Neodiprion lecontei: one gene and its partner. Each later gene encodes a partner of the first gene's protein in a complex. Links are inferred from orthologs where the notes say so. Each region holds a gene or a part of one and is shown on either strand. Other genes may lie near its edges.

Region 1 (5,148 bases):
AAACATTAAGAGGTAGACAGGTAGTTAAGTGGCTGAGGGGCGCCAGAAAGGGGGCTGGCGCCACAAAGGGGGCTGGCGCCACAAAGGGGGCTGGCGACACAACGAAAAGCTCACGCAGTTCGGAGAACTACGGAACCAAGTCCACGCACCTACACCACCGCACCAAGCAGCGATATACCATACGTAAAAACCTACAATATAGTAATAGCTAAAGAGCTAAGATAACAGGCGTGCATGCGGCGAAGATGTCGTGCCCTAATTAGAATTCCTAGAAAAGAGGGGAGGTGCGCAAAGGTGACCAAAAAACTAGAGAGGGGGATCGTTCTGCGCAACGATCGACCCCTATAAAAAGGGCGACCGATCACTCGATCGCTCTCTCGGTTTCTACCTCCAGATTCGTGATCTAGTTCCGGTACAGTCTCGCGGTAAAATCCTTTAGCCTTTTGCATTAAAACTTTCATACAACGTTACTCTGCCCAAAAGTTCAGCGAGCTTCAACTCCATTTTGTCATACTAAGTTTAAGATCTTACACTGTGTAACTCTGCGTTTGTGACTTCTAAATATCAAACTTATAAAATAAACCAAGTTAGTCAAAGTATCCAAATATTAAAGTCAGTTATTCCGCTAAAACCTCTCACCAATCTACAAGTCATCGCATCCAGAATACTCTCAAAAAGGTAAGCCAAATTAAATCTTTTATCCAACAATTTCTCCCTCTTCGGTTCGTTCGACTAGAGCGACAGAATGCCCGTTGTCGGGTGTATTTCAATACTTAATCGGTAATTGGTGACCCAAACTACTGATGTGAGCCTAGCTGTAGCTGCGTGTGAATGTTTCCGGTGTCTAACATCTGGAGATTTCCACTAGGTACTGTTCCGACGTCACACTCACCACTGTTCGTATACTAAAAAATTGTACGCGTCTTGTCCCCGTTTTTTAGGTCCTCTACGTGGCGCTAGTAGACTTCTCAAACGCTCGCTGCCCTCGCTGACCGCGCGCAAGCTCGTCAGGTAACTACTAGCGTCACTAGTGGTGGAAATTGGCCGCAGAATCAAGGGACATTTTGCGAACCACTTTTAGCAGCGTGTGTCAGGGGGCTGTCATAGACTTATAAAGATAGACTGAGCGCTCCTATATGAGGTACTGAAGCCTTCATATAAAGGATAGAGATATGTCGGGAGTACTACTCTCTCTTTTCAATCGGTTTCATACCGGGAGACAAGGGCGTAGTGGAAGTGGAACAGCTATAGATATAGGCGCATAATTTCGCTTCATTCTCCTCTACCGCCTCGATCCCCGCCACAAATATCGTCAGAGAGAGAAAGGAGTACTCCCGGTATATTTCTGTCCTTTAAATTTTTGCTTCAAGCGACTCATAAGAGCGCTCAGTCTATCTTTTATAAGTCTATGGTGTCAATCCAATAAATCATTATCCCCGCGGTATTCTAGGGTTAGATTCGACGGTCATGGGTTAAGTTATGTTCATTGAGATTCAGTTTGTTTCGCGCTCGGCCCACTATGGCGTTGTAGGTTTTTCTGTGTTGCCAGCATAACTTTTTGGTGTCAAAAATTAGCTGTCTCAGATTCATTGTCCGCAAGTTTACAATAACATAGAAATTATCATTATTGGTCGGGTCTAACGGAACAGGCCAATGAAATTAATGAGCTTAGCTTAACGCTGAACTTCCAAAAGCGTGGTAAGTGCTTATGACGTCACGAAATGTATATTCACAAGAGAAGACAACGGCACCTTAACCCTTAATATTTCCTTTTTCCGGTTTAATCCGAAAAGCGCAATTGAATGTCCACGATCCATTGCATTTTGATGCTTAATTGGTACATGATCACCCAGAAGTCAGAATTATTGACTGTGCGTCTAGCTGTACATACTTGCGCGTTTGAATCTAGTGTCTAGCATCTGGAAATCGTCGTGGAGTGCCATGACGTCGTAGTAAGGCTTAGAGCATATAATTTTCAAAACATGGTCAAAGTCTGGATGCAAATAAGGGTACATAAAATAACCGACGCAGCACTGATTGATACCAAGTTGAGTGATGAAATTGAATGTTTAGTTACACAGTTACACTCATTGTATCTTAAATTATAGTCAGTTGGGCAACTTATGTTTCACAGCGCCACCACTAATTGCAGCCAAAATCGGCTCACTTCTTGTAACTCCAGGATATCCCTCCTTCTGTACGCTCTGTAGTGGAATGACTTGACTATGCGGTCTGGTAATCACTTATTTCACGATCTTACTAATCAACAATGAGTTCAACAGCTGTGACGAAGGTATTCATTACCATTACAATCTTTACGCAACATTAATTTGAAATCACAATAAGTTTTTCTTAGAATTACTATCGTATGAATTTCAGTACCCAATGTACTAATATTGTAAGATAATATATGGTATGCATAACCACTGCAATATATTTAGCGATATTTGGTACAGTTATACTGAAATGTAAGGCTAATGGAATGTTGTTCGCGCTAGAAGTAATTCGACAACAGAATTTCGTAATTGTATAATAATATTTAGAATTTCGTAAGTTACTCCACAATTATAATTATAGGTATGTAGTCATGGTAATCATATACTTCATATGTTTGGTTTTGTACTGATTGCCATATACAGACCCTTAGATTAATTCTGAAACATTTCAGTCCACTGTTGAAATGGATTCGAGTTATTTTTCATGACAGTTATTACAAGCCGTGCGTTCATTTTTCCCAGTGTCTGGCTTCGCAGCTGTAGTCATCCCGACATCTCCCTTCTGATACATTTGATTTTAGAAATATATTAATTCTTTAAAATTACTTTCCGTAATATCACCTCAGGGATGTATTCCCATGGAGGAATAAGTTCCTGTTTTATTTTGTATTCTATTCATTGTCGCATTGCAACTCCTTGCCTATTAATTCTGCCTTATTTATTTACCCCGTCTTGTTTATTTTCTTTGCGTTCATGAGCCGTATTTTGTCTCTATGAAGCGGCACAGTCTTATAGCCTGCATCGCGGTTCTTGCATGTATGTAGGTGAAAAAATGTGCATTAGAGTTTGTTTTGCACGTTAAACAAGTAATAATAGTCTACCTTGGTGGCCTGGAATGTGTTTGAATCAATCCAAGGATCAGTACATATACCATAAATTTAAAAAATGTTGGATTTATGAATTTTAATTTTGTAATATGTGCAGTACTTGATCATTTTACTAATACTCTTTGATCCTTCGTGTCCAGCCTGGCGCAGTACCTTCGGTACAAGAATATAGCATCAGAGTTCCAAAGTAAGTCTATTGTTTCCTTTACTAAGTTTGCCTGAGTGACATTAATTATACTCTAATTTTGACTTCAGTCTGTGACTGATTTTACATTATCAAATTTAGAATAAACGAATACTTAATGTTCCAATATTGTGAACTTTGTGTTACACAATTTTGTACCTTACATTTTGCTACATTAGAAGTATGTACCCCATACCATCATGAAAGATCCTATTACAGATTTGTATTAATCAGTATTTCGATCCTTTTTGCCACAGGAACAGTAAAAAAAAGCACAATGTCATGCGATTTAATGCAACACTCAATGTTGACTTTTCAAAATGGTCGCAAGTCAAGATGGAGCGTGAAAATAACATGAAAGAGTATAAAGGAATGGATGAGGAGATGCCAAAGTTTGGAGCAGGATCCGAGTTTGGTCGCGACGCAAGAGAAGAAGCAAGGCGAAAAAAGTTTGGAATAACAAGTAGAAAATACAAACCAGAAGATCAGCCTTGGATTCTTAAATCAGGAGGTAAAACAGGGAAGAAGTTCAAAGGAATTCGAGAAGGTGGAGTCAGTGAGAATGCAGCATACTATGTTTTCACTCATGCACCCGATGGTGCCATTGAAGCATTTCCTTTGCATGAATGGTAAGTTCACAAAGTACATAAATTCGTAAAAAAATTGATAGCTTATTCTTAGTTTTTCAGTGAAATTTTCAACCTACTGTATAAAAAATTTAGACCTTAGAGACTAAACAAAAGCATTTTCACTCAAGCTAGCAGCTAGTGTTTAGCAATATCGTTACAAGAGAGTGTCTCAATAACATTATCAATGCAAGAGGTATTTTTCTTCTATGAAGATTATTTCTAAGGAAATTAATAATGGTTGTTAACGACACAAATTATCAGCTATTTGCTGTCTCTGATACCATCAACATTATTTCGGTGTCCTTACTATATGTAACTAGTGAATAAATATTCTCGATTATAAATATTACGTTTACCATGATAGACGTTAAAAACTTGGTAATTGTGCATATGGTATTAGTTGCAGAAGCACTAAACTAGGTGAAAAAAATTTTTACTGTTACATCTCAATTTTTGTTCAATTTCGTGAGAAAAATTAGTTCATTCAAATTATAGGTATAATTTCCAGCCAATACAAAGATATAAAGCTTTGAGTGCTGAAGAAGCTGAGCAAGAGTTTAGTAGGCGGAATAGAGTCATGAATTACTTTTCATTAATGATGCGAAAGAGAATGCGAAACGACGACGAAGGCGCCGAAGATGATCCAGAATTATCTGAAGGTGGTAAAGGAAAAAAACTTGGTAAAAAAGAAAAGGAATTAAAAATATCAGAAATGGATGAATGGATGGATAGTGACGATGATGATTCGAGTTCTGACGAAGACAAGGAGAAAAAGAATTCTGAAGAAGAAGAGGATGATAAAAAAAAGAAAAAAAAAGCTAAGGGTTAGTTTACTTACATTTGATAGTTCTTCATTGATACGTTGACTGAAGAATTACAGAGAACTGCAAATTTTGGAAGGAGCTGCGTGATAAGTTTTGGGCCTGAGCAGGCAGGCGTGAAAGTAATTCTACAACTTGTTATATGAGATGATTATGTAAATTCAGTTTCAAATAGCAGAATATTGCAATATTACTCATGAATTTCAACTTCTCCAGCCAACATACTTGATTCATAGATCTCATAAAAGACTTTGTTTTTCTTCAGACAACTACTCATTTAGGTGAGATGCAATAACTCTTGCATAATCGTGCTAATAGATTACTTTATGTACTTTATTCAGAAGTAGACTTCGAGTTTTAATTACTACACTGTTTCAACATTAATCTTTTCTTTCACTGGCTTGAACGCAA
Region 2 (5,022 bases), on another chromosome or scaffold:
TGGGAGGGAGGGGGAGGAAGAGGAAGAATCGGGGCGGGAGGAGAGGCTTGGGGGGGTGGGAGAGGAGGGATTGCGTCATGCCGCGCAAGCCTCGCAGCCCGCACGTCAATACAGCACGCAGGCCTGCCGGCCAAGCCTGCCTCGCTCGGCTTCACCATCGTCGGACGGCCTAGCCCACCATGGCTGCTACTACTGATGTACCACCACCACCACCACCACTGTAGTTTACACTGGCTGCCTCAGGTATCTCACGATCAGTGATACTTGTGTACGTACGTACGTGGGTACGGTCAATACGACGATGAAGATGAAGATGATGACGATGACGAAGGGAGGGTGTAATTGGTTGCCTGACAATTAATATTGGAATCGGAATTCCCCGAGATCATTGATTGTTGTAAGATTTTTGCAAAATTGTCGGCGTGAACGAGGATGATGTTGGTAACGTTAAGGTGAACGATTCATGTTCGGGGAAAATCAACGCTTCGCAATTTTAGGATTTTTTGAAATTTATTAAACCGTGATGAGGGGGGAAAAAACAGAAATCAAACATACTCGTATATTTCGAGAAGTCAACTTCTTGAACGTCATTCAGAAATTACAGGGTAATGATTTTTTTTTTTTTTCTTCACTGACGGTTTCTTGAAGTCAACGTTACTAACTTCAGTCTCGTTGGTGCGGACAGTTCTTTCTCTCTCTATCTACATGTATACCACTTGAACAGGCATTTCTCTGTACCTATCTATGCAAGTGCGCAATTGTTGAAGGTGGTGAGATAAAAAATATCGACGGTAAAACGAAATGATGAGAAAATAACAGTGAAACGATTTATTAAACTGGAACGCAATTTCACCCCTTTTGTCGGAACGATGATGATGATGATAAAGTTAAACTGCCGACGAAGAAATGGATACCCTTTAACGTCGGACAGATGAGAAAATTTCTATTGTACGTTAGGTTTGTATTTTGCAATAAAACAAAAAGCAGAAGAGAATGAGGAAGAAAAAAGAGGGTTGATGAGTCGTGGCTGCACAGGATTACAGTACGCGTTGCGTAATATCAGCGTCGTTATATGAGATCAAGAAGAAGCGGTTCTTTATTGGATTCGATTGAATGAAAATTGAATTATGCTACAGGCGAACTACACGCAGCACACATTCGGCAACATTCACAGATCCTACTCACCCAATTCCATCGGGTACAGCCAACTGTTGATGTCCAGTATAAGGTCCATCTTGAAGGACTCGGATTCGCAATGCAGCCTGGTAACTGAAACGAGAAAAACATAGTTGTACGATATGAGAATTCGAGTAGTGAAATGAAACAGGTTACACAGTGAGCGTAAATCGAAGGGTATTATAACAGGGTAGAATTATCTAGATCCTTTATTTCCGTCTCGTCGATAACTCGATGCGCAAACCGAAAAGTGCGGAACAACGAAGGGCGAGAAAAACCGACTCGACTTGTGCCGTAATTGATCTTCTACTGCTTGGAAAACGACGAAGAAGATGTAAGAAGATGAAGAACCTTGGTGTAGGTGTGTACTGTAGGTGGCGCTGCCCTTGACAGCTGTGACGCAACGGTTCGACCCCCACCACCAACCCCAGAAGACAACAAACGGGGTTGTGATACCCCAACTTGAAACTATGAGCGCCGCCGTCTCGTCAGGATAAAGAAGAAGAGATAGAATCCTGGATAGGGAAACGGAAGGGATAAAAAGTAGGGATAGTGTTACGAGAGAAAAATTAAACATCCCTCGGCGTTTCCTCACCCCCGACTGGCAACCTTCTGTAACGTTTTTCTTCATTTCTTTTCACCTCTCATCGATCTCTTCCACCAGCTACCGGGCAAGACGCAATAGCGGCGAAAAACGTTGGAAGGAAGAATGAACCGTACCGCGAGATAGAAAAATACTCTGGAAGCGGGTTGAAAGATGTTGAAAACCGAATGCGGATCTCGTAATTATAAATCGAATTAACGGTAAGAAACGGGCAGACTGGTCCGTTGATTTTTTTTTTTTCAGACGATGTCAAAATATCAGAAAAATGAATCGACGAATGAACGAACTCTTCGATTCATGTTCACAAGATTGTTCCCGAAAAAAATGAAGTGTTGGAATTGAAATCGATCTTCATTATTTTCTTCGCATTTTTATCCTTCTTATCGTGATATGGACAGATGATGGTCTGAAAACACTAAAGTCAAGGAGGAGGATTACAGCTGTCATGAGGCCTGTGAAACGAGTGTATAAAACTAACCTAACCTAACTTTACAAATTCAAACGAAAGAATTCGAGGCAGCCAAATCCAACAAAGAATCAAAGAAAAAAAGAAACGTGTATAATCGAACAGAGAAGAAAGAACGTTTCGATCGATTGCGACATCCAGGTAGTTGGGCACCTAGATACAGATGTCGTATCGGATCGGATCCGGGATCAAGCTGCGCCAGCTGGTACCGCGACACAACAGGGACAGAAATGACAGATCGATACAAGCGAGTAGTGGCGATAATCAAAAATCGCATGCCATGAGTACCCGAGGGTGCAATTTAATTTTGTTACAGTCACGTTCGTACGTCAAGTAAAAATCATTCTTCGTCAATTATCGAGATCAGAACCGGCGCAGTCCGCACTGAAAAATTAGTCCGAGGTATAAAAGTCGCGCGTAATCGATCCTCGGGTCCATCTTCTAGCTGAAAAAATTCACTATCCAGCCAAGCTGCGCGAGTGTAGAGATCAACGAGACTCGAAACACTTCGTTGGCATGATATTGTTGAACAAGTACCGTAACTAACAAACCAAAAGAAGAAAAAAAAAGCTCCAGAGTTCGACATGAAACGCGTACGGTGTGACATTGGTTTGATATGTTCATCGTAATTTCTCTGTCTTTCGTTTCGTTTCGATTTTGGTAGGATGTATTGGAACGATATGCATGAAGTGATATAGAGAGAGAATATCTTCTCCCCATCCATCTATAATCTATATCCCTGCCTCCCTGCCTGTCCCTGAAAAATTGGAAACCCTACCCCGTATCGAAGTTTGTGCCCCAGAGAGCCGCTAGCGAGGAAGAAGATCAGTCTGAATCGCGTCAAGTTGCATCCCTTATTTACAGTCTAGTACATATGTACACAGCGTATGTACCTAGCGGCCTGCACGGTTACCGTCGTACGTAACATAACATAACGTAACATGACTGACATAACCAACTCTCCTCCTCTCCGAACGTCGCACTACCACTCCGATGAGAGACTGTTTCGAAACTGTTCGCAGGGTTCATCCCTGTCCCTGACGAGCCCTGCTTTCCTGCGCCACGCCACCTCCCCCATCGTCAACCCCTGTGCCCTCGCACCCCGTTTCCACCTGACCCGCGGTGTGCAGCGAGGGAGGTGGAGGAGAGATGAGGAGGAATCGACCGACGAAAGGGGGGGGTGGGGGGGAGGGAGAGGAGTATAATGTAAGTGACGTACACCCCGTACACCCCCTACATCCCTCTTTTTTCATCAGCATCGTTTTGCAGTGCATCGGAATCTCCTGGAAGGTACGTTCAATGATTCCGAAAAATCGTTATCCCATCATTTGCAGCATACCGGTATACTATCATCTTCAATTCGGAGGAGAAGTTACGCCCGGGCGAGAAGTTACGCAGAGTAATGGATTGCATTTCTTACATTTCACATCTGGCAGCGTACGGGGTAGAGTTTTGTTATTCGTTTCTTATACATGCGACAATTCTCGTTGCTGGATGTTTTCGTAAGGCTGATATTTTTACTTCGTTTTCCGCGACGTGAATCACCGCTGCATCGGACACGTTTATTCATTTATACACATGAGCTTGGGTATATCCTACAAGCGGCTGTGCACGCAATATTCTAAGCTTCGCGATATATATAATATATATATGTATATATTTTTACATAAAAATACTTCATCTTTTTTCTTCGTGTGGGCAAACGCCTTGAAGCATTTCACAGAATCGTTCATGCACGCGGTTGCCTTTTCATACCGACATGTATAACGCGTGTATGTACAATATAAGCGGTTAAGTCGCGTTGTTGATTTCGCTGACCACAAATCGCTAAGGAATATATTCATGATGCATCGACAATAATACAACCAAGTTACGACCGTCGCGGACATGTGGTACGATCCTTTTTCGAACGTCTTAATCTCGATTGACGTGAAGTTGATTTACACCAGCCGATCAACTCGTGTCAAAACTCATAAATTTTATTCTTATTTAGTGAACAATATAAAGCATTAATCATTCCGCGAAGTTGTAACTACACGCTGCACCATCGCATGTTATTATTGTAAAAGCGGTATGTTTACTCTACGATAATCGACAAACGTAAACGTCTTAGGCGCTAATGAAAAAACCTCGACATTCATAAAGCATCGCTTTGAAATCTTCATCCATTTTCAGTCTTTACCCATATTTGACAATTAACCTGCAGGTAAAATCGATGCTAGGATTATTCAAGGTCACCGATCATTTTCCTCGTCCGAAATCCCTGTCGTCATTCTCGTACGTTATAAGTCCATGATGTTCAGTGAAAAAATCCGTAACAAGTCCGACGATATTTCCAGGACATTTTCGGCTTATCGAAGGACATTAAATATAGAATAATTCCAGGACACATGAAAAATTCAAGGACAGTTTCAAGGACTTTTGAACGAGAAGTCAAATTCAAGAAAATTTTCAGGTTTTTCAAGGGCATTAAAAATAGAACGTTTCCAGGACACGAGAAAAATTCAAGGGCAGTTTCAAGTACTTTTCAAGGACAAGTCAAATTCAAGGACGTTTCCAGGACCACCGGACGCGATGTATACCGACGCACTACTCTCGTGTATGAATATTCTGACCGCATCAGGTCCTGCAACCACCTCTGCAGAAACAAAACCACCACCAAGTTGTCCTGCGAGCACTGCTACATCCGGCACCAGGTAATGTGAAATAGAAACATCATCCTTTACCCCGTCATATGGTGTTCGGTACACGTTGCCTGTGACATTGGGTCTTTGGC

What was found.
Region 2: general transcription factor IIF subunit 1 (region 1) and DNA-directed RNA polymerases I, II, and III subunit RPABC3 share a complex: the UniProt entries of both Homo sapiens proteins name them as parts of the TBP-based Pol II pre-initiation complex. The link is inferred for Neodiprion lecontei from reciprocal best matches to the Homo sapiens genes GTF2F1 and POLR2H.

Annotation. Positions count from the first base shown.
Region 1 is NC_060261.1:26,083,814-26,088,961, reverse strand, and holds the start of general transcription factor IIF subunit 1, read left to right. Parts: upstream 1-2,142; 5' UTR 2,143-2,269; coding exon 2,270-2,293; intron 2,294-2,307; exon of another isoform or gene 2,308-2,410; coding exon of another isoform or gene 2,411-2,413; intron 2,414-2,459; exon of another isoform or gene 2,460-2,577; intron 2,578-3,243; coding exon 3,244-3,290; intron 3,291-3,544; coding exon 3,545-3,916; intron 3,917-4,411; coding exon 4,412-4,740; intron 4,741-5,148. UniProt on the Homo sapiens protein: TFIIF is a general transcription initiation factor that binds to RNA polymerase II and helps to recruit it to the initiation complex in collaboration with TFIIB. It promotes transcription elongation.
Region 2 is NC_060266.1:1,952,375-1,957,396, forward strand, and holds the start of DNA-directed RNA polymerases I, II, and III subunit RPABC3, read right to left. Parts: upstream 3,291-5,022; 5' UTR 3,276-3,290; coding exon 3,197-3,275; intron 1,270-3,196; coding exon 1,186-1,269; intron 398-1,185; exon of another isoform or gene 1-397. Other genes in the region: protein UBASH3A homolog, read left to right, coding at 3,396-3,536, 4,737-4,942. UniProt on the Homo sapiens protein: DNA-dependent RNA polymerase catalyzes the transcription of DNA into RNA using the four ribonucleoside triphosphates as substrates.